Anolis sagrei: one gene and its partners. The protein of the gene in region 4 interacts with the protein of the main gene of each other region in a pairwise test. Links are inferred from orthologs where the notes say so. Each region holds a gene or a part of one and is shown on either strand. Other genes may lie near its edges. The genes, in order: RETREG1, FUNDC1, MLX and GABARAPL2.

The links.
Region 1: the proteins of GABARAPL2 (region 4) and RETREG1 interact in binary tests that used the Homo sapiens proteins (3 or more experiments, as listed by UniProt). The link is inferred for Anolis sagrei from reciprocal best matches to the Homo sapiens genes GABARAPL2 and RETREG1.
Region 2: the proteins of GABARAPL2 (region 4) and FUNDC1 interact in binary tests that used the Homo sapiens proteins (3 or more experiments, as listed by UniProt). The two-hybrid records come from large-scale screens. The link is inferred for Anolis sagrei from reciprocal best matches to the Homo sapiens genes GABARAPL2 and FUNDC1.
Region 3: the proteins of GABARAPL2 (region 4) and MLX interact in binary tests that used the Homo sapiens proteins (3 or more experiments, as listed by UniProt). The two-hybrid records come from large-scale screens. The link is inferred for Anolis sagrei from reciprocal best matches to the Homo sapiens genes GABARAPL2 and MLX.

Annotation. Positions count from the first base shown.
Region 1 is NC_090024.1:100,715,096-100,722,004, forward strand, and holds the start of RETREG1 (reticulophagy regulator 1), read left to right. Parts: upstream 1-3,909; 5' UTR 3,910-3,938; coding exon 3,939-4,159; intron 4,160-6,909. UniProt on the Homo sapiens protein: Endoplasmic reticulum (ER)-anchored autophagy regulator which mediates ER delivery into lysosomes through sequestration into autophagosomes.
Region 2 is NC_090023.1:77,008,976-77,016,826, forward strand, and holds the start of FUNDC1 (FUN14 domain-containing protein 1), read left to right. Parts: upstream 1-4,838; 5' UTR 4,839-4,928; coding exon 4,929-4,959; intron 4,960-7,851. UniProt on the Homo sapiens protein: Integral mitochondrial outer-membrane protein that mediates the formation of mitochondria-associated endoplasmic reticulum membranes (MAMs).
Region 3 is NC_090026.1:51,084,798-51,092,482, reverse strand, and holds the start of MLX (max-like protein X), read left to right. Parts: upstream 1-4,672; 5' UTR 4,673-4,717; coding exon 4,718-4,765; intron 4,766-7,685. Other genes in the region: ATP-dependent RNA helicase DHX8, read right to left, coding at 1,954-2,059. UniProt on the Homo sapiens protein: Transcription regulator. Forms a sequence-specific DNA-binding protein complex with MAD1, MAD4, MNT, WBSCR14 and MLXIP which recognizes the core sequence 5'-CACGTG-3'. The TCFL4-MAD1, TCFL4-MAD4, TCFL4-WBSCR14 complexes are transcriptional repressors.
Region 4 is NC_090028.1:29,634,312-29,642,153, reverse strand, and holds the start of GABARAPL2 (gamma-aminobutyric acid receptor-associated protein-like 2), read left to right. Parts: upstream 1-4,842; 5' UTR 4,843-4,977; coding exon 4,978-5,011; intron 5,012-7,842. Other genes in the region: TMEM231 (transmembrane protein 231), read right to left, coding at 817-945, 1,032-1,207, 4,604-4,703. UniProt on the Homo sapiens protein: Ubiquitin-like modifier involved in intra-Golgi traffic. Modulates intra-Golgi transport through coupling between NSF activity and SNAREs activation. It first stimulates the ATPase activity of NSF which in turn stimulates the association with GOSR1.

The DNA of each region.
Region 1 (6,909 bases), on a different chromosome or scaffold from region 4:
GGTGTTCCTGTGAGTATCTCTGTAGATATTAGGAAGTTATTTCTTCATTTAATCATTGACATGCTGGCTGATATCTGAACAGAGGATGAGCCAGAGATGTCAATGCCTTGGTCCTTTCATTACTGGTCGCTATTTCCCAACAGATGTCAGGTGGTGCAATACCGGCTAAACAGTATAATTTCTCTAGTGGTGTAGGGCTTATTTATTTATTTATTTATTTACAGTATTTGTAGCATGCCTTTCTCAGCCCTAAGGCGACTCAAGGCGGCTTCCAGAATTGGCAGAATTTGATGCCATGCATTCATAAAAATACAATTAAAACATTCAGCATAATATTATTTAAAAAACCATATTAAAAACCATAGACATTCTGTGATAATGTGGCATGTCTCATTAAGAACCACATCCACTGTTTTAACTTGGTGAGGTGTATTCTACACTAGGCATGCATACTCAGCAGCAGAGTAGCAAAGTGCAAGGGCAAATGTCTCACTGTGTCTGGTTGTGATCCCCAGGTTGTGCTGGTCAGCTTTTGTATGATATTATTTCTAGTGCCCACTTTCTGCTTGATATTCATTCAAGCAGTGCTTCTTGTCAGTACGTGGTCCAGGGTGACTCTCAGGTATTTGGGGATGCTGCAATGCTCCAGTGGGATTCCTTCACAGGTAATCCTCAGAGCTCAAGGTGCTTGTCTGTACTAAAGATGAAAAGCACATGTCTGTGTTTTAGATGGATTAGGAATCAGCTGGTTTTGCTTGTAATAGACAGTTTATTTATCAGTGTCAGAAGCAAATTGAGAATACAGTTATAATGTATAAAAATCACAAAGTTAAAACCTTGGCATTATGCTAAATTTCCTTGGACCAGAAGTTGGCCACTTCAAGTGCCTCTGGTGTCACTGTATGAAGGTCCTCCATTGTGCATGTGGCAGGACTCATACTGCATCGTAGGCAGTAAGAGCACCTGAAGCAGTGATTCTTAACCTATGGGTCCCCAGATGTTTTGGCCTACAACTCCCAGAAATCCCAGCCAGTTTACCAGCTGTTAGGATTTCTGGGAGTTGAAGGCCAAAGCATCTGGGGACCCACAGGTTGAGAACCACTGACCTAAAGCTTCAGAGCTTCTGTTCAACCATTTGAAAGCTCCCTGCTTGAGTGGTGATGGCACGATCATCAGCATAGATGAGACTGGGTTGCTGTGAGTTTTCCGGGCTGTATGGCCATGTTCCAGAAGTGTTCTCTCCTGACGTTTCGCCCACATCTATGGCAGGCATCCTCAGAGGTTGAGAGGTCTGTTGGAAACTAGGCAAGTGGGGTTTACTTATCTGTGGAGTGTCCAGAGTGGGAGAAAGAACTCTTGTCTGCTTGAAGCAAATGTGAATATTGCAGTTGGCCACCTTGATTAGCATCTAACAGCCTTGCAGCATCAAAGCCTGGCTGCTTCCTGCCTGGGGATTTTTTGTTGGGAGCTGTTAGCTGGCCCTGGTTGTTTTCTGTCTGGAATTCCCCTAGTGTTTGTTTTTTTTAGCGTTCCTCTTTATTTACTGTCCTGATTTTAGAGGGTTTTTAAAAAAATACGTAGCCAGATTTTGTCCATTATGTTTTTCTCCTTCCTGTCGAAATTGTCCACATGCTTGTGAATTTCAGGGGCTTCTCTGTGTAGTCTGACAGGGTGGTTGTTAAGAGTGGTCCAGCATTTCTGTGTTCTCAAATAATATGCTGTGTCCAGGTTGGCTTCCCAAGTGCTCTGCCATGGCTGAATTCTTTTCTCCTGCTATACAGCCCAGAAAACTCTCAGCAACCCAGTGATTCTGGCCACGAAAGCCTTCGACAACATGTAGAATCATAAAGCTGGAAGAGACCTCATGGGCCATCCAGGACAATCGTGTTCAAAGCACCCCCAACAGATGGCCATCCAGCCTCTGCTTAAAATCCTCCATAGAAGGAGCCTCCATCACACTTTGGGGCAGAGAGTTCCACTGCTGAACAGCTCTCACAGTTAGGAAGTTCTTCCTAATGTTCAGGTGGAATCTCCTTTCCTGTAGTTTGAAGCCATTGTTCTGTGTCCTAGTCTCCAGGGCAGCAGAAAACAAGCTTGCTCCCTCCTCCCTATGACTTCCTCTCACATATTTATATTTACTTACTTAGGCAATCCCTCGTTGGCCGAGTCAGATAGTCTTCCAGGATCAGTATTCTTGTGGGTGTGGAGCCCTGTTCTTGACCTGCATCTTCTCCCACAGTGAGGGCATTGGTTTCCAGGTGGAAGGCGGTCTCGGTCAGAGTTGGCTTGACACACCTTCCTCTTGGCAAGTTTCCCTCTTTCACCCTCCATTCGTGCCTCTTCAAATTCTGCAGCACGGCTGGTCACAGCTGACCTCCAGCTGGAGCGGTCAAGGGCCAGGGCTTCCCAGTTCTCAGTGTCTATGCCAGAGTTTTAAGGTTGGCTTGAGCCCATCTTTCAATCTCTTTTCCTGTCCACCAACATTCTGTTTTCCGTTCTTGAGTTCGGAGTAGAGCAACTGCTTTGGGAGACGGTGCTCGGGCATCTGGACAATGTGGCCGGTCCAGCGGAGTTGATGGTGGAGGACCATCACTTCAGTGCTGGTGGTCTTTGTTTCTTCCAGCATGCTGACGTTTGTCCGCCTGTCTTCCCAAGAGATTTGCAGGCTATGATGTCTCCTCTGTTTAAAATCCTCCATTATCAAGGGATGTCTGCGCCCTACACCACTGGCGAAATTACACTGCTTAGCCGGTATCGCACCACCTGACATCCGCCGGGAGGTGGCAGCCAATAGTGAAAGGACCAAGGCAGTGACATCTCCAGCTCATCCCCTGTTTGGGTATCAGCCAGCACGTCAACGACTTAAATCCAGACATAGTTTTCTAAGATCTACAGAGACACTCGCTGGAACACCTCAGCAAGCAAGAGTCCAAAAGTGGCAGGCTCAAACCCAGAACCTCAATTCATGGCTGATACCAAATGAGAGACTTCCCCCTGGCACACAGAGGACTGGGCGACTTGGAAGGCGCTGAACAGACTGCACTCTGGCACCACAAGATGCAGAGCCAACCTTCAGAAATGGGGCTACAAAGTGGAATCCTCGACATGCGAGTGCGGAGAGGAGCAAACCACAGACCACCTGCTGCAATGCAACCTGAGCCCTGCCACATGCACAATGGAGGACCTTCTTGCAGCAACACCAGAAGCACTCCAAGTGGCCAGATACTGGTCAAAGGACATTTAATCAACTACCAAACTCACACATTTTGTATTTTCTCTGTTTGTTTGCTTTGTTCTGTTAGAAATGTAATATAATTGACTGGCTGCCCTGACACGAGAAATAAAATGTCTCCTCTCATCCTTGACTTCTGCAGGCTAAACATTCCAGCTCTTTAAGCCGCTCCTCATAGGGCTTGTTCTGCAGACACTTGATAATTTTAGTCGCCTTCCTCTGGACACATTCCAGCTTGTCAATATCTCCCTTCAGTTATGAAACTCTCTGTCCCTTCTGTCAGTGTACATGTTAAACATGGATGGAGCAAGCACCAGAAGCGACTTGCCATCCCAATTGATTGCCACACAGGGCGAGCTTTCCCGCCCTTTCTACATTGTTGACGTCAGCGCGTTCTAAACCCACTCTTCTTCATGCCATCCCTTTAAATACGTTTCCTCCCCTCACAGGTTGATTCTATCCCGCCGACACAAAATCCGGGCGAAAGCGATTCGCGCGCACATTCCCCCGCCCCGCCCAGTTTCCCCTCTATTAACCCTTCCTGCGCTCAGCCCCGCGCGCTCGTGTAGCCTGGGATCTCCGAGTTGACCAATCAGAGGCGCCGCGCAGACCCACACGGGGCTGTGATTGGTTCTTGCCCGAAGAGAAGGCGGCGCGCGCACAAGTAGCGGGGGGGGGGGAGTGAGAGACAGATGCGCGTCCCCGGATGTTGACAAGCCTGTCAGACGACGGAGCGGAGATGGATGGCGAGGAGGCGGCTGCAGCAGCGCGGAGGGGCTCTCCCTCAGGGCGCCTGGGGAGCCAAACGGAGGCCGAGGGGAAGGAGCTGGAACCCACCGGGACTTGGCGCTGGTTGGTGGCGGCGCTGACTGGGAAGAGGCCCCTCAGCGTCCTGGCCGCCTTCCTCTGCGCCAACCTGCTCTTCTGGTGAGAGGCGCCGCTGAGGGAGAGCCTCGCAGATTGCACTGCAGCCTCCCTCTCCTTCTCTCTCTCTCTATCTCTCTCCCTCCGCCCTTTCCCTGTATTTGCCCCCTTCTTCCTAGTTTATCTCTGGCTTCAAAGGCATGCAGGAGGAGTGTGGAGAAAGGGCACCTCTGAGCATGCACAGAGTACATCTGCAGCAGAGAGGCAGCCTCAGGGCCCTTCCACATAGCCATGTAACCCAGCATATCGAGGCAGGTAGTAATATATATATAAATAAAAATTTGTGGGATTAACAGAACTCAAAAACCACTGGACGAACTGACATCAAATTGGGACAGCATACACCTAACAACCCAATGTATGTCCTTCACTCAAAAAATTGATTTTGTCATTTGGGAGTTGTAGTTGCTGGGATTTATAGTTCACCTACAATCAAAGAGCATTCTGAACGCCACGAATGATGAATTTGGGCCAAACTTAGCACAAAGGACTCCAATCACCAACAGAAAACACCAGAAGGTTTGGGTAGTATTGACCTTGAGTTTGGGAGTTGTAGTTCACCTACATCCAGAGGGCACTGGGGACTCAAACAATGATGGATTTGGACCAAACTCTACACGAATACTCAATGCCGAAATATGAACACTGGTGGAGTTTGGGGAAAATAGAATCTTGACATTTGGAAGTTGTAGTTGCTGGGATTTTTAGTTCAACTACAATCACAGAGCATTCTGAACCCCACCAACGATAGAATTGGGCCAAACCTCCCACACAGACCCCCCATGACCACCAGAGTGAGCTACAGCAAGTCGTGGCAGGGGACGACTAGTAATAATAATAATTCAGACAGACAGTTTTTGAGCACAATACTAGAGTTTTGGAGCACAATACTCCTGACTGCACAATCGTGGAAAAAAACAAAGTATGGGTTGTCGATGTTGCAATCCCAGGTGACAGCAGGATTGAAGAGAATCAACTGGAAAAGCTGACACGATATGAGGATTTAAAGATCGAACTGCAAAGACTCCGGCACAAGCTAGTAAAGGTGATCCCAGTGGTGATTGGCACACTGGGTGCAGTGCCTAAAGACCTTGGCCTGCACTTAAACACAATTGGCATTGACAAGATTATCATCTGCCAGCTGCAGAAGACCACCTTACTGGGATCTGCATGCATTATTCACCGATACATCACACAGTCCTAGACACTTGGGAAGTGTCCAATGTGTGATCCAATACAACAGCCAGCAGAGTGATCTTATCTGCTGTGGACCCATCTTGTTGTGTTTCAAATAGTAATAATAATAATAATGATAATAATAATAATAAATGTTATTTATACCTCACCATCATCTCCCTGAGGGGGACTCGCGGCCAAGCCCAAAGATACAATACAGCAAAATAAAATAGAAAATATAGACAACAAAAATTACATCAGAATAAAATACATAAAGTAGTAAAATAAAATAAACCAAGCAAATTGACAAAACGTAAAATCAAACACAATAATTGTCAAAGGCGTTCATGGCCGGAATTCTACAACAACCCAAACACAATTAGCAGGCCAAATGGACAAGGTAAAATAATAAAACCCTGGATGAGGTAGGAATAAAAAAGTGTAACTATTATTAAGAGGAGAACAATTATTAGATAACTTTGTGAATGAATGGCAACCAATTATTCAACATCCTAATGTAAAATTCAACTAAAAATGTATATAGAGGATCCTATAAGATTGTAGACAAGGAGGAAGCGGATGTAAAGTAAGAATATATGATAGTTTTATATGTATTATTTAGATAGTAGATTGTGACCCCTTAAAGGAAATATATTATCAGATAAATGATTATGGAACATTAATAGATAGAAAGTATAGCACTGTATGCAACAAACACTTGCAAATTTATGTCTACTTAAATACAATTTTTTTTAAAAAAAAAGTAATTGAGAGGAGCCCAAAAAGGATGAACAGTGGGGTTATGCTTTCAATTTAGAACAGGGGAAAGTGCATCATAGGGGCAACACTGTAGATGGAACAGACAAAAAATGGGACATGGTCACTCCCAAAGGCACATCGAGAGAGCCAAGTTTTCAGATTTTTCTTAAAGGCTGCTGAGGTGGGGGCCTGCCTAATCTCACCACAATATCTGTTTTGAACTGAGTTATCTGAGTCCACACTGCCATAGCATTCAATTCAATGTGGATTTTATACAGCTGTGTGAAAGAGGCCTCAGAATATCAAGGCAGATACAGTAGAGTCGTGTTTAACCGACCTTCGATAATCTGACGTTCTGTGTTATCCGACTCGGAAGGGTTTGCTGCGTCTTGCTATGCAGTGTTTATGCTTTGTGCGAGTATGGAGGCAAAAAAAAAGAACGTGGTTGTATCAATTGAACAGAAACTTGAGGCAATCAAGAGACTGGACAAAGGAGAGATTGTGCAGAAGGTAGCCGAGGACCATGGCATTGGAAGGGTAATAGCAGGGGACTGGAAAAGGAACCGATTGGAGATAGAAAAATTGTGTTCCTCCAGAGTTGAGCAGTAAAAAAGAGGAAAAGATTAGAAAGTGTAACTATGAAAAAGTTAGCAAAGCTTTGTACAGTTCAGAGACAAAGGTGTGCCTTTTTAGGGCCTATTTTACAGCAAAAGGCATTGCATTTGCGAAAGGAATTTAATGAAGGACACCCAGATTTTACAGCAAGCATTAGCTGGCTTGACAGGTGGAAGGAATATTATGAAATCTGTCTGATAAAT
Region 2 (7,851 bases), on a different chromosome or scaffold from region 4:
GGAAAGAGGACAATAAAGAATAAAGTTATTGTCATACCAGTCTTATAAATGCAGTGGTCAAGTAAACCTTGTTTTCCATTGGACTCTGAAATATTTGAATGCTCTTCTGTGCCATTTTATTAGCATTACTGAATGCTACAGCAATATGGGTTTTGTTTCAAGATTAGTAAAAGCCTTGAGCAAGATTAGTAAAAATGAAAGGTAGCACACAAGTATTTTAACAAATCGGAGAAACACTTCATGCTTATAGGCACGAAGAAATAAACCTGCATCAGTCTCAGATTATTATTAGTTCAGTACCATGAACTGCTAAATGTTTTCTAAGAATCTATTGTGGTTTTCAACACTTCTGAGAGACCTTGCTGCCAAAGAGAGGCATATGAAGTCTTTGAAGAAATTATGACCAAATAACCCAATCTTGACTGATCTTGTGTTGTTGATGGCTTTCGTGGTTGAGAATGCTTCTGGAACATGGCCATAAAGCCCAGAAAACTCACAGCAACCTATTGACTGATATTGACTGATATTATTTCTAATAAAGTTACACTGGAACAAAACTATTGGAAAACTATTGTTTTTAAAGTATTATACATTTTGGTTTTGCACACATGCATACACAAATTATGGCAAGTTTTCCTGGTTAGGGAAAAGGTAGAATGGGATCGTTCATGGCTTAAATTTCAGAGCAATACCTAAAAGGGCCAGTGTGTTTATTTATACCTCTTGGTAAGGAATGGTGACTGACTCATGATTTACTCATGTTTATACTGGCACAAGTAAGGTTCTGGGATCATTTATACAGCACAGAACATGGTTCCAAGCTGAAGTAACTTCATCCATTTTCCCGTGGGATCTGCTCTCTTAATGTTTTCTGTTTGCAACAACCTAGTGAAATACACAGAACAGGAATGCATTGTTACATGTACTAAATAAATAAAATCTATGAAAATTAGATAGATATGCTCAACACTGCACCAATTTCTGCTGTTGCTGCTACAGAGTTTATCTTTTTATTGCCTCCAGTTTTAAATAAATCAGTCTTATGCTTTTATTTTTAGTTGCTCTGCTAATTGTTTTGCTAATCTTGTACATGAAAAAAGAATGCAGACTCTAACTATTGAAAAAGAAAAAGCTTGTCCATATGCATTGTCAGCAAAAAAGTAAAAAATAATCACATGGTTTTAGATTCATACATTGAAGCACTACTAGAAATGCATGATTACTTTGACTCTTCCGCCCTTTATATAAGTATTCAATTTTAAAATGTAGGTGACACACAACCCACAAAATATTATTGTTTATTGCCAATATATTTTTATTTCCCTTTTTGTCTTAGAATCAAAAGCTAAAACACATGACTCTTTCTTTAAAATGTCAACAACGTTAGGTAAGGTTGGCTTGGGTGACCTAAAGTAATCCAAGTAAATTCATCTTAGACTGGATGTACACTGCCCTATATTTATTTATTTAAAACATTTATATTCTGCCCTTCTCACCCCAAAGGGGACTCAGGGCAGAGGGCAGCAAATATATGGCAAACATTCAATGCCGGGACAAGAATTCATTATATGTATACATAAACAATAAAAACATTTATCTCAATATTAAAATACATTGTTTATAGCCCAGTATTCTTCTTATTCCAGATTATCTGGTAGTGTAGACTCATATAATCTAGTTCAAAGAAGATAATCTGGGACCAGATTCTGAGATATAGGGCAGCGTAGATCCAGCTATAGTTGGAAGAGATCACAAGGGTGCCCCGGTGGAGCAGTAAGTTATACCCTTGTGCCGGCAGGACTGATGACTGAAAGGCCAGCTATTTGAATCTGGGGAAAGCGGGTTGAGCTCCCTCTGTCAGCTCCAGCTCCCCATGCAGAGACACGAGAAAAGCCTCCCACAAGGATGATAAAACATCAAAACATCCGGGCGTTCCCTGGGGAACGTTCTTGCAGACGGGCAATTCTCTCACACCAGAAGTTACTTGCAGTTTCTCAAGTCACTCCTGATATGGAAAGAAAACCCCAAAACAAAACAAAAAAACAAGAGCCATATATCAACTCCTTGCCTTATAGGAATACACAACCAAAGCACTTCTGAAAGATGCACATCCAACAATCGTTTAAAGACCTCTAAAAGGTGGGGAGTCCATCACCTTCTAAAATCATTTATTCCACTGTTTGTACAGGTATTACAGCAGTAAGGTTCTTCCTAATGTTTAGGTGGAGTTACTTTTCCTGTGGTTTGAATTCATTGGTTTTAGGTTCTAGCTTCTGGAGCTTCTTCCATTTTCTACATGACTGGAAGTGTGTCTATTAGGGTTTGGCTCTACTCTAACTACTATGCCTCAAAGCTATGGAATCATGGGGGTTGTAGTTTGGAGAGGCAGCAGTTATTTAGCAGACCTAGTAAAACGACAACCCCCATGATACCATACCGTTTAGCTAGACCTGTTAAAGTGGTGTCAAACTGCATTCATTCTTCAGTATAGATGCACCCCAAGACTGCCTGAATTCAAGGGGATGGCAGGCCACTGGTTCCCAACTACTAGTCTTTCAAATGTTTTGGACTTCAGAAGTCTGTCAGTATGGCCAATGCTTAGGGAAGTCCCCAAATTTAGAGGACTATAGTTTGACAACCACTAGTTTAGCAGTCTGCCTGCCACCTGAAGCAAGGAGGGAAAAAAAACCCCAACAAAAACACAACTCCCAGCAGCTCCTGCCAGCACAAGCAATGGTAAGGATTGCTGGGAAATGGAGGCCAACAACATCTGGAGGGCCACAGGGTTCCCTCTCTTATATCAGATAAATCCAGGTGGCTGCCTCAGGCAGTGAGCTGGGCCATTCCTCCCTTTTACTGGGCCTCTACCAGCCTTATCCACCAACTGGAACCTAAACCCATCTCCACATCTACGCTTTCCTTTCCCAGGTTTTATCAACACTGCAAAATTATGGCAGTTTGACACCACATTAACCACCACAGCTCAATATGATTCTCAAAGATGTTGCCCTACAGATACATTAAAACTTGCACAGAATTATTCAAAAATATTGTGTAGAAAATCATTCTTCAGGGTGTATCTGCATATAGGGTGTATCTATATAAATAAAAATGTAATGTTCGTTTGTGGGATTAACATAACTCAAAGACCACTGGACGAACTGACACCAAATTTGGACACAATACATGTATCAGGCCAAAGAGTGACCATCACTCATAAAAATGCTGAAAAACACAGCAGAAGAGACTTAAAAAGACAAATAACAAAAAAATACAACACACACAAAACCACATATATACACAAACACACATATACACAAAAATACACACACATATACACATATAAAACACATATAAACAGACTGGACCACAGCAACGTGTGGCAGGGGATGGCTAGTATCTATATAAATAAAAATGAAATGTTAGTTTGTGGGATTAACATAACTCAAAAATTGACACCAAATTTGGACACAATACACCGATCAGGCCAACGAGTGACCATCACTCATAAAACACTGAAAAACACAGTGGAAGGGACTTAAAAAGCCAAAAAAGCAAAAAGATGAGAAGAAAAGGAAAAAAGGGAACAAAAGAGAGAAAGGAGAGAAAGAGGGAGGGAAGGTTGGCCACAGCAACGCATGGCGGGTACAGCTAGTTAAACATAAATGAATATTGTTTAGATTTGGGGCCCATCTTCAAGATATCTCACTACATTGACATTTTAGTCTATATAGCCCACATTGCCTGGGTGTTGGGGGGGGGGGGGCACGGGGAAGTAGCACTGCCTACCTGCTTTCTCCTTTCTTCAGTTCTGAGAAGGCCCACATCACAATGTCTCCATGGCAACACTCTGGCCAGGGTGGGCAGGCTTTGTTTGTGGTGCTTTCTTTCCTTCCCCCATTTCTCTCATGCAACTCTCTTTTTCTTCCCTTGCTTTCCGTCATACATCTTCCCTCCATTTCTTTCTCTTCCTTCCTCTTCCCTTTTTCTCTCTTCCCTCCCATCTGTCTCTTTTCTCTCCTCACTCATTTCCCCTTCACTTTCTCTTCCTTCTTATCTTTTCTTTCTTTCCCCTTCCTTCCTCCCTTCCTCTTATATATGTCACCTAGCAACAGCCAATCAATCTGCTTCAATCCCTTTCTTTCCCAGTCACATGACACCAACTCAATCAGCCTCCTTCCTTTTCCTTTATTCTGCTCTAGGCCCAAAAAGGATTTATTTAATGTATTGTCGAAGGCTTTCATGGCCGGAATCACTGGGTTGTTGTAGGTTTTTTCGGGCTGTACGGCCATGGTCTAGAGGCATTCTCTCCTGACGTTTCGCCTGCACTTTGGCAAGCACCCTGAGGCTGTTAAGCATGGTGGGAGTTGAAGTCCAAAACACCTGAAGGGCCCAAGTTTGCCCAGGCCTGATCTACACCTTAGATTTCATGCAATCTGACTCCTCTTTAGCTGCCATGACTCCATTATATGGAATCCTGGGAGTTGGAAGTTTTGGTGCATCCCCCTCTTTTGACAGAGAAGGCTAAGGTCCTTGCCAAACTACAACTCCCATGATTTCATAGTGTAGGGGCAAAGAAACCAAAACACTTCCCAAAAGCAGGAGCCCCCTTTCCAGTAACATTCAGCATGGCAGTGAAAGTGGGGTAAGACTGCATTAATTCTGCAGACTTGAAGCAGCAAGACCTTGGTTTCAGCAGAAGGGAAGAAAAAAACAGATTCCCCATAATCCCCGGGAGGAGGGGTGTAGCCTCCATGATGACGTCACGCATTGAAGGCCACAAAGCCCGAAGAGGCGGAGGGAGGCCTGGCTGTGTTGTGAGCATGCGCAGTCTTGTGCGGCCTTAGAGCGCCGAACCTGTACAGAGCTGGTGGGCGGAGCATCCGGGGACCTCCTCCTCCTCCTCCCCCCGCCCTCCAGTTGCCAACATGGCGTCTCGGCGATCTCGCTCCGCCTCAGGTCAGTGGGGGCCTCTTTGGGCCGCGCCGGGTGCTGTTGCCATGGTGCCCTCCTGGTCCCCCGGAGCGGAGTTGGCTTGGCCTTTTCCGCGCAGACTTCGGAGCCTTCCCACTCATCCTTCCCCCCATCTCGTGATAGCCCTGCCCTCCTGGAGCCAGTGCTGTGGGGCTGACGAGAGAAATAACTAGAGAGAGGAAAGGGCCATGCTCATTGGCTGCGCTGCGACGGAGGAGGCGGGGCCTGGCCTGGCCTAGCCTTTTCCTCCAGGCCCCAAAGAGGAAGGAAGGAAGGAAGGAAAGCTCGGGTGGCAGTGGGGAGGGGACAGCACAGACACTGCGTGCACACTACAGAATCACAGTTACTTGGCACCACATTAACTGCCATGGCTCAGTTCTGTAGAATCCTGGGAGTTGCAGTTTTGTGAGAGAATTGCATTCCTCTGTCAGGAAGCCCTGAAGCCACAATAAAGCTCAAATCCCATTATTCCATAGAATGGAACCATGGCCTTTAGGGTGGTGTCAAACTGGTATAATTCTGCAGTGCAGATGGTCTCTAGCCAAGAAGAAAAACAAGGAAGAAAGGCAATGTGGCAGCACATCTAGGATTTGACTCAAGAGTTCATCTACACCAGGCATGGGCAAACTTTGGCCCTCCAGGGTGTCTGGACTGTAACTCCCACAATTCCTAACAGCCCCAGGCCCCTTCTTTTCCCTCTCAGCCACTTAAGCTGATATTTTGCACCCCTCAACGTTTTCTGCTAATGGAGTTTGTGCCCTCCAAATAGGATGTTCAGCTTCACAACTCTGTGTGTTTTATGAGTCCCTTATAAACGTCCTGCTCCTATTTTATCTGATCATGGTTTGTTAACCGTTTTTATCCTGAATATGTGGCCCGCCCATAGTCATCACTACCATGATTGTGTTTATTGGAATGTTTATTTTACGATTTTTTCTCTCTTTTTAATGTAATTTTGATAATGATGTTGTTGTCTGTTGTATATGCTTTGATTTTATTGCTGTAATATGTTGTCTGGGCTTGGCCCCATGTAAGCCGCTCCAAGTCCCCATCGGGGTGATGGTGACGGGGTAGAAATAATGTTTATTATTATTATTATTATGCACCAGCAATTCCCCTTCAGCTTAAGCGGCTGAGTGGGAAAAGGAATGGGCCTGAGACTGTTAGGAATTGTGGGAGTTGAAGTCCAAAAACCCTGGTGGGCCCATGTCTACACTGTGGAATTAATGGAAATGATGTTATGGAGCCTCCGGTGGCACAGTGGGTTAAAGCTCTGTGCCGGCAGGACTGAAGACCGACAGGTTGCAGGTTCGAATCCGGGGAGAGGCGGATGAGCTCCCTCTATCAGCTCCAGCTCCTCATGCGGGAAGCCTCCCACAAGTATGATAAATCCGGGTGTCCCCTGGGCAACGTCCTTGCAGACGGCCAATTCCCTCACAACAGGAGCGACTTGCAGTTTCTCAGGTTGCTCCTGACACGACAAAAAAAAAAAAAAAAAGGGAAATGATACCACTTCAACTCCCATGGCTCAGTGCTATGGAATTGTGGGAGTTGCAGTTCTGTGAAATAATTGCTTTCCTCTATCTGGAAGCCCTGAAGCCACATGGCCTTTAAAGTGGTGTCAAACTGGTATAATTCTGCAGTGCAGCTGGTCTCTAGCCAAGAAGAAAAAGTAAGGAAGAAAGGAAATGTGGCAGCATATTTGACTCAAGAGTTCATCTACACCAGGCATGGGCAAACTTTGGCCCTTCAGGGGGGTTTGGGCTTCAACTCCCACAATTCCTAACACATTCAAGCCCCTTTTCCTCCTCAGCCGCTTAAGCACCAGCAATTCCCCCTCAGCTTAAGCGTCTGAGGGGGGAAAGGAATGGGCCCGAGACTATTAGAATTGTGGGAGTTGAAGTCCAAAACCCCTGGAGGGCCAAAGTTTGCCCATGTCTGATGTACACTGCAAAATTAATGGAAATGATACTACTTTAACTCCTATGGCTCAGTGCTATTGAATTGTGGGAGTGGCAATTTTACAAGCTTCCTCTGCCAAAGTGTGCTGGTGTCTCACCAAACTGCAGATCCCAGGATTTCATAGCACTTAGTCAAGGAAAGTAGAGTGGTACGAAACAGTATTGATTCTGCGGTGTAGATTTATTCTCACAAGTTCTCAGTTTTCCTCCCATCACATCTACATGGGGACATAAATCCCCCCCCCCCAACTCAATGTAATTATGTTGTATATGAATACTTTTTTGTCCAGCATGCATATTTTGTATATTTGTATTTCAACATTTTATGCAGATACAGCATTCAAATTGGAAGTTTTACTCAACAAATGAGTTTGATAAGGAACCATTTTTCTGAATAATAATTTAATGTCTGGAAAATTCTTGTTCCTGCTTTGAGCAACAATCCACCGATGGTCACACCTCTGTGTTTAAGAACCACTGAACCAACTTTTTTCATTTTTTGATACTGCCACATTTCCTTTCCTTTATTTTCTTCTTTCCCTTCCTTTTTATGGTACAAGAGACCAAAAAGCCTATTTCTTTGAAATCTACCACTCTGGGCAAGAAGGTTTGCTCATGAGAAGCCTTTCATACTGTGCAGTGAGGACACATTTCCTACAAAGAGTGTTTAGGATTTTTAGTCAATCAAATTTTACCCAGATGTTTATCTAATCCTTCCCATGCTGCCTTTGGAAACCCCACAGCTTCAAAAAATTTGTTTGGATTAGAATCTTACAGCTTAATTATGGAGGTCCAGAAAAAATAACCTTTCCAAGTTGAAGACCGACTGCCTCTGATCCTGAGGTAGCAAATAGTTTTTTCCTGTAATTTGCTGAGATCAGTAGAGGACAGGGCTGTTTTAATGTCCCAAAGCACT
Region 3 (7,685 bases), on a different chromosome or scaffold from region 4:
ATTTTCCCCAGGCTCCACCAGTGTTCACATTTTCGCATATTGAGTGTTTGTGCCAAGTTTGGTCCAGATCAACCATTGCACGAGTCCACAGTGCTCTCTGGACATAGGTGAACTACAACTCCCAAACTCAAGGTCAATACCCACCAAACCTTTCCAGTGTTTTCCGTTGGTCATGGGAGTTCTGTGTGGCAAATTAGGTTCAAATCCATCGCTGGTGCAGTTCAGAATGCTCTTTGATTATAGGTGAACTATAAATCCCAGCAACTACAACTCCCAAATTACAAAACCAATCCTCCCCCAACCCCACTAGCATTTACATGTGGGTGCATTGGGTATTTGTGCCCAGTTTGGTCCAGTGAATGAAAATTCATCTTGCATATCGGATATTTACATTATGATTTATAACTGTAGGAAAATGACTGTTATGAAGTAGCAACAAAAACAATGTTATGGTTGGGGGTCGCCACAACAGGAGGGATTGTATTAAGGGGTCATGGCATTAGGAAGGTTGAGAACCACTGATCTACAGAGACACTCGCTGGAACACCTCAGCAAGCAAGAGTCCAAAAGTGGCAGGCTCAAACCCAGAACCTTAACCAATGGCTGATACCAAATGAAAGGCTCCCCCCTGGGTACACAGAAGACTGGGCAACTTGGAAGGCGCTGAACAGACTGTGCTCTGGCACCACGAGATGCAGAGCCAACCTTCAGAAATGGGGCTACAAAGTTGAATCCACGACATGCGAGTGTGGAGAAGAGCAAACCACTGACCACCTGCTGCAATGCAACCTGAGCCCTGCCACATGCACAATGGAGGACCTTCTTGCAGCAACAGCAGAAGCACTCCAAGTGGCCAGATATTGGTCAAAGGACATTTAATCAACTACTAAACTTCACCTTTCAAACTGCTAATTATCTAAAAATGCAAATACCAAAACATCTCAGGGAGGTATTCACGCGAGCCAGATTTGATCAGCTCGAGACAATGGTTAGATACGGGAGATTTAACAGCATCCCTTATAATGAACGGAGTTGTATCTGCGGGGCACCCGAAACTGAGGATATAGCACACACATTGTTTGATTGCAAATTGTATCAAAAGGTGAGAGACTTCCACCTTGGTCCATATATCAAACGGACAATGTATTGGGATTCTCACATCAGAACAACATATTTTATGTGTGGCCAAGACCCAAAAATAACGTATAAAACAGCTCTGTACTTAAGCAAAACAATACGTCTGAGAACCACATATGTAGGGCTGATTGGGGTAAATTGTAGGGGTGATAATGAAATATGATGTATACACTCAGCTTGATCAGTTTATCAGTTTTATCATGTCTTATCATATGTATTTACTGTATTATTATAAGTGTCTTATTTTAACTTTCTACGTGGAGTGTGATCAGGTCTTGTCAGGCCTTGTTGTTCTGTTTCTTATTGTGATATGGCCTAAGGGCTAATCAATAAAAATTACTACTACTAAACTACTAAGCTTGCAAATTTTGTGTTTTGACTGTTTGTTTTGCTCTGTTAGAAATATAATACAATTGACTGGTTGCCCTGACACGACAAATAAATACATGGGCAAACTTAGGCCCTCCGGGTGTTTTGGACTTCAACTCCCACAACGGCTGTTAGGAAGTGTGGGAGTTGAAATCCAAAACACCTAGAGAGCCGAAGTTTGCCCATGCCTGGTATAAGAACAAGGATGCCTTCCAGAGATTCTCAGGACTTTGGACTTCAACTCCCAGAAGCCTCAGCTGCCTTGGTCAACGAGGAGGGATTCTGGGAACTGAAGTCCAAACAACTTGGATGGGCAGAAGTTGAGGAATTCTGGTACAGAAGCTCTGCTGCTCGATGAGGGACACAAGGAGGTGGCAGGGAAGGCTCCCCAGCTCCGGGAGGTGCGCAAAATGGGGGCCCGTCCCTCCCCGCCACCCAGGCACCCACCTAGGTCCTTGTCGTTGATGCCCAGGTGGTTGTCGAGCTCCGTACAGACTTTGGAGACGAGCGAGAGGTACTCGAGTTTGGCAAGCTCCTCTACAGGGTCCGCCATGGCAACACGCCGCCGCCCCCACCGCTAACCAGACGCGCTTCCGGTTCTCCCCTCCGTGCGTCCCTTAGCGTAAGAGCGTCGCACGCATTACGCCTTACTTCCGGTGTATTCCCCTAAACTTATAAAAGGTTAGAATGCCGCTCTCGGCAGACTTCCGGTGTCATAAGCAGGCAGCCTCAAACTTCTGTCCTCTCGTTGATTGGACCTCTAACTCTCAGAATTCCTGACCATAGAACAAAATGGTTTTGGAATTGGAGGCCCGCAGTTTGACAATGCCTACAATTAAACCTCTCTCCAGATTAGAAGTGAGAGGTGCCAAAAGAGATTTCCCATAAAAAAAAACTCTAAAATTAAAAACAGCAAAACAACAGAGAGGAAACAATCAGGCACATCGAATCACCTCTCAACAAAAGATTGCCCCAGGCACTGCCAGGTCATCAAATGCTAATCAAGGTGGTCAGCTGAAACATTCACACCTAGCTCCAGCAGACAAGAGTCCTTTGTCCCACCCTGGTATTTTTTTTATTTTTTATTTTATTATGTATGTGTCATCCACAACCAGAACACTGTATTACATTTCTAACAGAACAAAACAAAAAAACAGATAAAAAAAACACACAAATTTTGCAAACTTGGTAGCTGATTAAATGTCCTTTGACCAGTATCTGGCCACTTGGAGTGCCTCTGGTGTTGCCGCAAGAAGGTCCTCCATCGTGCATGTGGCAGGGCTCAGGTTGCATTGCAGCAGGTGGTCAGTGGTTTGCTCTTCTCCACACTCGCATGTCGTGGATTCAACTTTGTAGCCCCATTTCTTAAGATTGGCTCTGCATTTCGTGGTGCCAGAGCGCAGTCTGTTCAGCGCCTTCCAAGTCGCCCAGTCTTCTGTGTGCCCAGGGGGGAGTCTCTCATCTGGTATCACCCACAGATTGAGGTGCTGGGTTTGAGCCTGCCACTTTTGAAATCTCGCTTGCTGAGGTGTTCCAGCGAGCGTCTCTGTAGATCTTAGAAAACTATGTCTAGATTTAAGTCGTTGACGTGCTGGCTGATACCCAAACAGGGGATGAGCTGGAGATGTCTCTGCCTTGGTCCTTTCACTATTGGCTGCTTCTTCCCAGCGGATGTCTGGTGGTGTGATACCGGCTAGACAGTGTAATTTCTCCAGTGGTGTAGGGCGCAGACACCCCGTGATAATGCGGCATGTCTCATTAAGAGCCACATCCACTGTTTTAGTGTGGTGTAATGAGTTCCACACTGGGCATGCATACTCAGCAGCAGAGTAGCATAGCACAAGGGCAGAGGTCTTCACTGTATCTGGTTGTGATCCCCAGGTTGTGCCAGTCAGCTTTCGTATGATATTGTTTCTAGCACCCACTTTTTACTTGATATTCAGGCAGTGCTTCTTGTAGGTCAGGGCACGGTCCAGAGTGACTCCCAGGTATTTGGGTGTGCTGCAATGCTCCAGTGGGATTCCTTCCTGGGCAATCCTCAGAGTTTGGGGTGCTTGTCTGTTCTTAAGGTGAAAGGCACATGTCTGTGTTTTGGATGGGTTGGGGATCAGCTGGTTTTCCCTGTAATAGGCAGTAAGAGCACCTAGAGCTTCAGAGAGCTTCTGTTCAACCATCTCAAAGCTCCCTGCTTGGGTGGTGATGGGCAGGATATAAATATATGACTTTGAGATCTTCCGGGGAGACCCTGCTCTCGATCCCGCCTGTTTCTCAAGCTCAGCTGGCGGGTACGAGAGATAGGGCCTTCTCGGTGGTGGCTCCTCGGCTGTGGAACGCCCTTCCTACGGACATTAGACTAGCACCATCTCTAATGGTATTCCACAAAAAAGGTGAAGACCTGGCTGTTTGAGCAGGTGTTCGAATAATTAGTGGAATGATTGGTTAATGAACACTGGAATGGAACAATGGATGACGAATCTGGAACATGTTTTTGATGACGAGACGATAGTGAATGGGTATTGTAGTAACTGTTTATTAATTGTGTAATGTGTTAGGTTGTTAACTGTTTCTATACTGTAACACTGAATTTTTGCTGTTCATATTTGTTGTGAACTGCTGTGAGTCGCCTTCGGGCTGAGAACAGCGGTATATAAGTAAGGTAAATAAATAAATAAATAAATAATAATATGAAATGAATTTTGTGCTTACTCTTTGTGTGGTTTCCTAATAAATAAAATTGGTGGTTTACTAAAGATATTATTAAACAAATGCTGAGGGATCTTGTAGTAAAGGGGACAAAGGCTGGATCTTCACTGGCCTATAATCCAGATTCAGAATGTGGATTAACTAAATTGAATCGGATTATAGTAATCTATACTGGCCTACAATCCAGATCAATGCAGTTTATCCACATTCTGAAGATGGATTACAGGGCAGCTTAGATTCAGCCGTAGTGACTGCAATTTCTGTCCCTCTCCATTAATTTTTCAGGATAACTCTCACTTCCGGTCTGGGGATGGTGTATTGCAATAGTAAACAGGAAATGACGTTGAAGACAAGCAGGTGGCTGCAGGATTTGTCCGGCAGAAGAGGAAAAACTACCTTTCCCAAAAACCTCTGCAGTTCGACGCGACTCTTCCGGGAGGACCCTCCCCCCAGCCCTGATTGGCCAGTGCCAGGAGGACACGTGACATTGTGGCCTAGCTGTGGGAAGATGGCGGAACCGTCCAGCGTCTCTTCGGAAAATGCTTGGGTAGGAAAAGTGAGTGGAGCTGGGAGGGGCTGGGCCTGGGTCTCGAAGTGCATCGCAGGCCTGTGGAGGTCAGGGACTTCCTTGTCCTTTCGGGCGAAGAAATGTAAAGTAGCCTCTGAGCATACGAAGAATGTCTCTTCAAACCTCAGCTTTGGCACCATTCCGTCTGCTAAACTAACCTTAGGCCAGTGCGTGAGAGAGGGGCTTCCTCTTTGTGTTATGTTTAGATTTACAAAGGGTTTAATTAAATCTTAAGTATAAACAATTCACCTGTTTTGAGGAGATGTTTAAGCAGCAGCTGCTGCGCCTACATTTGGCTGGCAGCCATTTGTGTTGCCATTTTTAATAATAATAATAATAATAACTAGCTGTACCCGCCACGCATTGCTGTGGCCAACCTTCCCTCCCTCTTTCTCTCCTTTCCCTCCTTCCTTTGCTCCCTCTTTCCTTCCTCCCTTTTTCTCCCCCCCTCTTCCTCTCCTTTCTTCTCTACCTCTTTCCTTCCTTTGTTTTTTTGCTTCCATTCTTCCTTCTGTCTTTCCTTCCCTCCCTCTTTCCTTCCTTTCCTCCTTTTCCTTTCCCTCTCTCCTTCCCTACCTCTTTCTTTCCTTTCCCCCTCCCGTTTTCTTTTCCTCTCTCTTTCTCTCCTTCCTTCCTTCTCTACCTCTTTCCTTCTTTTGTTTTTTTGCTTCCATTCTTCCTTCTGTCTTTCCTCCCCTCCCTCTTTCCTTCTTTTCCTTTCCCTCTCTCCTTCCCTACCTCTTTCTTTCCTTTCCCCCTCCCGTTTTCTTTCCCTCCCTCTTTCTCTCCTTCCTTCCTTCTCTACCTCTTTTCTTCCTTCTTTCGCTCTTTGCTTCCATGCTTCCTTCTCTCTTTCATTCTTTCTTTCCCTCTCTCTTTCTCTACTTCCTTCACTCCCTCTTTCCTTCTCTCCTTTCTTCCTTCTCTACCTCTTTCTTTCCTTCCTTCACTCTTTGCTTCCATCTTTCCTTCTTTCCTTCGCTCCCTCTTTCCTTCCTCACCCCCCCGTTCTTTTCCTTCTCCTTTCTCTCCTTTCTTCCTTCTCTACCTCTTTCCTTCCTTCACTTTTTGCTTCCATCCTTCCTTCTCTACCTCTTTCTTTCCTTCCCACCTCTTTCTCTCCTTTTTCCCTCCTTCCTTCATTCCCTCTTCCCTTTTCCTTTTTTTCTTCTCTCCTTCTTCCTTCTCTACCTCTTTCTTTCCTTCCCCCCTCCAGATTTCTTTTCCTCCCTCTTTCTTTCTATCCTTCCTTCCTTCTTTCTCCCCTTCCTTCCCCCCCTCTTCCTTTTTTCTGTATTGTCATTTAGCTTTTGGGTTTTTTTTTAAGTCCTTTCCAGTTTTTTTGGGGGGGGGGCATGGTGATTTATGAGTGATCACTTGTTGGTCTGTTAGGGGTATAGTGTCTAAATTTCATGTTAATTCATCCAGTAGTTTTTGAATTCTGTTAATCCCACAAACGAACATTACATTTTTATTTATATAGATAATAATAACTTTATTTTTATACCCCGCCAACCATCTCCCCAGGGAGACTCGGGGCGGCTTACAAAGGACAAGCCCCAAAATTACAAATAAAACACACATTTAAAAACATCAGGTAAAATATAAAAACAAACACAATTGTAAGCAATATCAAACAATATGGCTGAGAAAAAATATAGCTGAGGTTTAGGTGCCTTGCATGCAATACATCCTGAAGAGGAGCGCAAGGAAAGTGCAACAATCAAGTAGATAGGACTAGGAATAGTGTCATCAAAGTGTTGAGGTGGATGATAAGAGGGCCAAACATAAAGTGCAGGAAAAAGTTACAGGTTGACTGTTTAATTGAAAGCTTACCGGAATATCAAGTTTTTTAGTTGACACCAGAAAGAGGACAAAGTAGGAGCCTGTCTGATTTCCCTAGGCAGGGAATTCCGGGGGGGGGGGGGGGGGGGGACCGGTTCTTTTTCTATTTTTATATATTTAGTATTTTTTGTATTTCCATATGGATCTCTGTCCTAAACTTTTTTGCTTTTGAAGAGGTCCACCAAATGTGGAAAAATGTTCCAGTTTGTTGCCCACATTTCCAACATTTGTCTGAAGTGTTTTTATAACATTTTGACATTTTGTAAGGGGTTAAGTACCACCTATAGCAGTTGTTATGTTGGCAATTTCTTCCTGGATGTTGGTCTTCAAATCTTGTAGGGTCCTTGGACGGTTCACATAAACACCGGATTTCAAAAACTCCCCAAGGAAAAAAATCACAAGGGGCCAAATCTGGAGAGCGGGCTGACAACTCCAAATCCGCTCGAAAAGTAGGCCTCAATGGCAAAAGCACGCTCCTCACTGTTCCAACGCATGATGTGCGACTGAACTGTGTCAGGACAAAACTTTATACTCCCGCCTCTCAAACGAGACCACTAGCACTCCTCTACGTCTTCAACCGACTGAATGGCGCGCATTTTAAAAAAGGAAGTTATGCTGCCTCACCCTGGAAGAAATGAATAAAGATTCTATGAATGGGGGCTCTGAGGTTAAACCCCAATTTGGACCACATAGGGATATTTGAAGAAGAAGAAAATTGATATTTTGGCTCACACTTTTCCATTGTGTTGTTATCTTTTACAAGGGTTGAGGTTAGTTTTCTACTTATATATATCATAACAGGAAGGCTGGGTGTGGTCCCCCTGAACAGCAGTCTTCTAATGCAGAAATACCAGAACTTAACACAAGCATTTGTTTTAGGAAGGATATACTGCAACATTTCTTTGTACAGTAGAGTCTCACTTATCCAACATAACCAGGCCGGCAGAACATTGGATAAGCGAAAATGTTGGACAATAAGTAGGGATTAAGGAAAAGCCTATTAAAACCTCAAATTATGTTATGATTTTACAAATTAAGCAACAAAACATTATGTTTTACAACA
Region 4 (7,842 bases):
TCTGTACCACCCAGGGTACTCAGGGTGTTTACACATAAGAAGGCAGACATTCAATGCCAAAGTGAGTACAAAACATATCAAAAACATATTAAAATACATGATAGAGCACAACAATAACAGGGGTTTTTTTTGTCGTGTTAGGAGCAACTTGAGAAACTGCAAGTCACTTCTGGTGCGAGAGAATTGGCTGTCTGCAAGGACGTTGCCCAGGGGACGACTGGATGATGTGATTTTTTTTATCATCCTTGTGGGAGGCTTCTCTCATGTCCCCGCATGAGGAGCTGGAGTTGATAGAGGGAGCTCATCCACCTCTCCCTGGATTTGAACCTGCGACCTGTTGGTCTTCAGTCCTGCCGGCACAGGGGTTTAACCCACTGCGCCACCCTTGCCTCCAACAGCCACTGGGGGCTCCAACAACAATAACAGTGAATTAAGCATCGAGATAAAATATAACAGAATACTAAGTAAGACATAATTAACTAAAACATAAATAAACATTACAACAAATACCCTCAAAACAGTTTAAAATACAGTTACAATAAAAATGGCTGGCACCGGTGTTCCTCTAAGACAGGGGTCAGGAACCTTCGGCCCTCCAGGTGTGATGGACTTCAACTCCCACAATTCCTTGAGGCTCGGCATTCGCCCCAAAGGCTTACCTTGGCCTCAAGGAATTGTGGGAGTTGAAGTCCACCACACCTGGAGGGCCGAAGGTTCCCCATGCCTGCTCTAAGATGTATTGTGGCAGCCATATAGTGCAAGTGGAGTTGGCCATAATTCCAAATTTGATGAACAATCACGCCCTGGACTCCTCACCTGCAGCTGGTAGGAGAAGGTCAGCAGGAGCTGGACGCCCACGACTTGCTCCGAGGGCCGCAGAGGGAGCTCCAGGCGTAAGGAAAGCCGGTCCATCAGGCCGTCATGGTCTGCGTCCTCCTCCCGGGCCTGAAGAATGAAGGAATGGATGGAAGCGGGCAGAGGGCCTGACTTCCCGCCATGGAAAAGGAGGAAGGAAGGACCTGCTTTCCTACCGAGATAAGTGGGAGGCGTAGGTGGTCACCCAGAAGCCGGTTGCAGGCTGCAAAGGAGCTCCACCCCACGAAGCCCCCACTGCCCTGCTCTCCAGCCAGAAGCCCTGTTAACAGCACCTCATGCTGAAAGCGGACCCTGGGCTGCTCCTCGTAGCTGCTCCGCTTCAGCCAGAATCCTGTGGGGATGGAAGGAAGGCGGGTAGGCAGCGTTTTTATCCAAAGGATATTTTATTCTTTTTCAAATTTTATTTTACTTTTCAAGAATGACTTTTCAATTGTAATGACTTTGCAAAACACAATAAAATGTATAGCAGGTGAACATTTAGAAACCAAGTTCAAGTTATTATGGTCAATGGAACTCATTGCCCAGTGAGATTAGGAAAGCCCCCACCTTAGAAATTTTCAAGAGGGATCTCAAAACCTGGCTTTTCCAACACGCTTTTGGAGAGTAGCCATATTATCATACACAGTTGCTCCCCCTCAACTGTTTCTGTCCCCAGAGTATATTCCCCACCTGTATGAAGGTCTATATTTATGACCCCGTTCCTTTACGAGTTTCTCCCCCACAAACAATCTGCTCCATCCCTATCTCATCCTGATTTTAGTATTTTTAGTATCTTTGTTTTTATCTTGCACATGAGGCCCATCATTGTTATGTTATTTTATTTTACTGTGTATGATTTTGCTTTATCGTCTTTGCACTCATATGTTGTATGTATTTTACTATGTTGTTATTGTGTTTTGGTTTTACTTTATTGTAATATGCTGTTGGGCTTGGCCTCATGTAAGCCGCCCCAAGTCCCCATTGGGGAGATGGTGGCGGGGTATTAAATAAAGTATTATTATTATTATTATTATTATGACTGGTTTGAGAAAACAGATACAATCCCAACAAAGGATTCTCCCAGATAGGAAGCAGCCAGACTTTGAAGCTGCAAGGCTATTCAATGCTAATCAAGGTGATTAATTGCAACATTCACCCTTGCCTCCAACAGACAAGAATTATTTCTCCTGCCTGGGACATTATTCCAAAGATATATAGACCTCACTTGCCTAGTTTCCAACAGACCTCACAACTTCTGAGGATGCCTGCCATAGCTGTGGGCGAAATGTGAGGAGAGAATGCCTCTGGAACATGGCCATACAGACAAGAATCAATCAGGGCCAGCTAATCACCGGTGATAGTATGATAGCTGGGTCCGGAAGCTCTGAACGTTACCAAGATGCCGCAAAGGTGGCTGTGAATAAGGGAAGAGAGGGGACGGAGTGAGAGCAGGGAGAGCGAAGAAAGGTTAGAAAGGAGGGGACACTTAGGGTAAGGGTTAGGACAAGGTTCAGGGTTTGGGTTAGGGTTACAGTTAAGGTAAGGGTTAGGGGTTATAGTTAGGGTATGGTTTAGGGTTTGAGTTTCGGTTAGCATAAGGGTTAGGGTTTCACCATTAAAGAACTCTTATATTCCTTTTATGTTATCTGTCTCTGGCCTGGCTTACATTAACTAAGTCTCTCTTGCGCAAACAGTGCTCCCGAAGGAGCGATGTGGCATCTCCGTAACACTCGGAGCTTCCGGACCCAGCTATCATACTATTACCTAATCACCTCCCAACAAAGGATTCCCCAGGAAGTAAATAGCCAGACCTTGAAGCTGCAAGGCTATTCAATGCTAAGGAAGAGTTCTTGCTCCCACCCTGGACCTTCCACAGTTATATAAACCCCACTTGCCTAGATTACATTTTTAAAATTTTTATTGTTCATTGTTTTTATGATTTTAAATATACTGTAATGTTTCTTTTTTCTGCGTTTTATCAATGTATGCATTTTATATATGGCATCAAATTGTGCCGACTCTATACGCCGCCCTGAGTCGCCTTCGAGCTAATATGGGCGGGATAGAAATAGCATAAATAAATAAATAAATAACAGACCTCACGCTGAGGATTCCTGCCATAGATGCAGGCGAAATGTCAGGAGAGAATGCTTCTAGAACATGGCCATACAGACAAGAATCAATCAGGGCCAGCTAATCACCTCCCAACAAAGGATTCCCAGGGAAGTAAATAGCCAGACCTTGAAGCTGTAAGGCTATTCAATGCTCCTACCATTGCCTCACAACCTCTGATGATTCCTGCCATAGATGCAGGCGAAATGTCAGGAGAGAATGCTTCTGGAACATGGCCATACAGACAAGAATCAATCAGGGCCAGCTAATCACCTCCCAACAAAGGATTCCCCAGGAAGCTGCAAGGCTATTCAATGCTCCTACCCTTGCCTCACAACCTCTGAGGATTCCTGCCATAGATGCAGGCGAAACCTCAGGAGAGAATGTTTCTGGAACATGGCCATACAGACAGGAATCAATCAGGGCCAGCTAATCACCCCCCAACAAAGGATTCCCAGGGAAGTAAATAGCCAGACCTTGAAGCTGCAAGGCTATTCAATGCTAATGAAGAGTTCTTGCTCCCACCCTGGACCTTCCACAGTTATATAAACCCCACTTGCCTAGATTCTAACAGACCTCACAAACTCTGAGGATTCCAGCCATAGATGCAGGCGAAACGTCAGGAGAGAATGCTTCTGGAACAGGGCCAGCTAATCACCTCCCAACAAAGGATTCCCCAGGAAGTAAATGGCCAGACCTTGAAACTGCAAGGCTATTCAATGCTCCTACCCTTGCCTCACAACCTCTGAGGAGGTTTGCCATAGATGCAGGCGAAACGTCAGGAGAGAATGCTTCTGGAACATGGCCACACAGACAAGAATCAATCAGGGCCAGCTAATCACCTCCCAACAAAGGATTCCCCGGGAAGTAAATACCCAGACCATGAAACTGCAAGGCTATTCAATGCTCCTACCCTTGCCTCACAACCTCTGAGGATGCTTGCCATAGATGCAGGCGAAACGTCAGGAGAGAATGCTTCTGGAACATGGCCACACAGACAAGAATCAATCAGGGCCAGCTAATCACCTCTCAACATAGGATTCCCAGGGAAGTAAATAGCCAGACCTTGAAACTGCAAGGCTATTCAATGCTCCTACCCTTGCCTCACAACCTCTGAGGATTCCTGCCATAGCTGCAGGCGAAATGTCAGGAGAGAATGCTTCTGGAACATGGCCACACAGACAAGAATCAATCAGGGCCAGCTAATCACCTCTCAACATAGGATTCCCAGGGAAGTAAATAGCCAGACCTTGAAACTGCAAGGCTATTCAATGCTCCTACCCTTGCCTCACAACCTCTGAGGATTCCTGCCATAGCTGCAGGCGAAATGTCAGGAGAGAATGCTTCTGGAACATGGCCATACAGACAAGAATCAATCAGGGCCAGCTAATCACCTCCCAACAAAGGATTCCCCGGGAAGTAAACAGCCAGACCTTGAAGCTGCAAGGCTATTCAATGCTAATGAAGAGTTCTTGCTCCTGCCCTTGCCTCACAACCTCACAACCTCTGAGGATGCTTGCCATAGATGCAGGCGAAACGTCAGGAGAGAATGCTACTGTAAGCCCGGAAAACTCACAACAACCCAGTGATTCTGGCCTTGAAAGCAATCCCTCCCTTGTTTTTCGTGGATCCTCACCGTGGCTCCGGAAGGCCACCAGCAGCGGCGAGAGGACGACCAGCACGCCTAGTAAGAAGAGTGCTGTTGCTGCCACCGCGCTGCGCCTCTCCTTAGCCATGGCGCGGCTCCGTCTCCACGGCAACGCGAAAGACAGGAAACGGGGTCTAGGGGGCGGGCTTTCGTGCGGCCGTCCAATCAGCAAGGCGCCTCGGAGAACTCGAGCGGAAGTCCTCCCGACAGTGAGGGTTGTCGGGAATCTTGACAACCGGAAGTCACACCCTGTATTCCGGAAACGGGGAGCAAGAGCTGGAATCTCTGTCGTCGTCGCCGTTGTTGTGGCGTTGGAGGCCCGAAAGAAAGAGCGCGACCCCCGCCCCTCCCTCCTCCGCGCCATGAAGTGGATGTTCAAGGAGGACCACGCGCTCGGTGAGGAAGGAAGGCGGGAGGGAGGGAGGGAGCCGGGCCCGGACAAACAGGAAGGAAGGAAGGCAAAGAAGGGGGCCGGGCCTTTCCTTTCCCTCAGGGATTCTTGATTCCCATCCTGCCTCCTCACTAAGTGGTTCATTATAGCAGCTACACAAAATACAACGCAGAAGGAATGACACTGTGGAAAACAACAACAACAACAATAATAATCCTCAGTTCTCGTGGGTTTTTTCTGGCTATATGGCCATGTTCTGGAGGCAATTTTTCTCCTGACGTTTCGCCTGCATCTATGGCAAGCATCCTCAGAGGTAGTGAGGTCTGTTGGAAGTAGGAAAAATGGGTTTATATATCTGTGGAATGACCAGGGTGGGACAAAGGACTCTTGTCTGCTGGAGCTAGGTGTGAATCTTTCAACTGACCACCTTGCTTGTATGCTAATCAAGGTGGTCAGTTGAAAGATTCACACCTAGCCCAACTTACAAAAGCCCTTTGTCTCACCCTGGTCATTCCACAGATGTTGTTGTTGTTGTTCATTGGTTCAGTCGTCTCCGACTCTTCGTGACCTCATGGACCAGCCCACGCCAGAGCTCCCTGTCGGCCGTCACCACCCCCAGCTCCTTCAAGGTCAGTCCAGTCACTTCAAGGATGCCATCCATCCATCTTGCCCTAGGTCGGCCCCTCTTCCTTTTGCCTTCCACTTTCCTCAGCATAACTGTCTTCTCCAGGCTTTGCTGTTTCCTCATGATGTGGCCAAAGTACTTCAACTTTGTCTCTAGTATCCTTCCCTCCAATGAGCAGTCGGGCTTTATTTCCTGGAGGATGGACTGGTTGGATCTTCTCGCAGTCCAAGGCACTCTCAGCACTTTCCTCCAACACCACAGCTCAAAAGCATCGATCTTCCTTTGCTCAGCCTTCCCTAAGGTCCAGCTCTCACATCCGTAGGTGACTACAGGGAATACCATGGCTTTGACTAGGCAGATCCACAGATATATAAACCCCTTTTTCCCAGTTCCAGCAGACCTCACCTCTGAGGATGCTTGCCATAGAGGCAGGCGAAACGTCAGGAGAAATGCCTCTAGAACATGGCCCTATAGCCCGAAAAAACCCACAAGAACTGAGTGATTCCAGCCATGAAAGCCTTCGACAATACAATAATAATAATCTTTATTTATATCCCGCCCCATCCCCCCCGGAAGGTCTTGGAACGGCTTACAACATAAATAAATACAATAAATAACAAATACAGAATAAAAGAAGGCAGATCATAACATGACAAGTCGATATAAAAGAGGAAAAGGAAGAAAACAAAACAGGCAAATTAAACAATAAGCTGTTATGTTTGTTTATTTATTTACGAGCTTGGATTATGATTTTAGTTATGAGACGCTAGTGAGTTTTTTATTGATGTTTACTGATGGTTATTGGTGTTAATTGCTTACTGTATTATTGTGTTAATTGTCTTTTAAATGGCTGTACGATGTTTGCAATTAATTTTTGCCGCTTCTTGTTGTTAACCGCTCTGAGTCGCCTAATGGTTGAGAAGAGCGGTATACAAATAAAGTAAATAAATAAATAAATAAATTTATTTACTGTATTGTCGAAGGCTTTCATGGCTGGAATCACTAGGTTCTTGTGGGTTTTTTCGGGCTGTAGAGCCATGTTCTAGAGGCATTTCTCCTGACGTTTCGCCTGCATCTATGGCAAGCATCCTCAGAGGTATTTACTGTATTTTTATACCGCCTTTCTCAGCCCGTAGGCGACTCAATGTTAGGCCAGTGGTTCTCAACCAGTGGGCCCCCAGGGGTTTTGGCCTACAACTCCCAGAAATAATAATAATAATAATAATAATAATAATAATGTATTGTCGAAGGCTTTCATGGCCGGAATCACTGGGTTGTTGTAGGTTTTTTCGGGCTATATGGCCATGGTCTAGAGGCATTCTCTCCTGACGTTTCGCCTGCATCTATGGCAAGCATCCTCAGAGGTAGTGAGGTCTGTTGGAACTAGGAAAAGGGGTTTATATATCTGTGGAATGACCAGGGTGGGACAAAGTTTATTTATTTATTTGGTAGTTTTGTATACCGGTCTTCTCACCTCCATTCGAGGGACTCGGGCCGGTTTCCAACATCAATATTACAGACCGTCATTAAAACATCATATTTCTAAATCACACTAAACCATTAAAACATTGAAACAATTAAAATGGCAAAAATACAATCATATGATTACAGTGGTCAGTCGTCATCAAAGTCATTATTCATCATCAACCATCCATATCACAGGATCATGGCTCATTCGTTGAATGCCAATCCCCAAAGCCAGGTTTTCACCTGTTTCCTGAATGTTAAGATCGAAGGGGCAGTTCTGATCTCCAGTGGAAGAGAGTTCCAGAGTCGGGGGCCACGACCGAGAAGGCCCTGTCTCCCGTTCCCACCAGCCGCGCCTATGAGGCCGGTGGGATCGAGAGCAGGGCCCCTCCAGACGATCTTAGTAATCTTGATGGCTCATAGGGGAGGATACGTTCGGACAGGTAAATTGGGCTGGAGTCATTTAGGGCTTTATAGGATAAGGCCAGCACTTTGAATTGTGCTCGGAAGCTGACTGGCAGCCAGTGGAGCTGGCGCAACAGAGGAATAGCATGCTCCCTGTGCCCCGCTCCCGTTAGTAATCTGGCAGCCGCACGTTGGACTAATTGAAGCTTCCGGGCAGTCTTCAGAGGCAACCCCACGTAGAGAGCGTTGCAGTAATCTAAACGGGATGTAACCAAAGCGTGGACCACCGTGGCCAAGTCAGACTTCCCAAGGTATGGGCGCAGCTGGCGCACGAGGTTT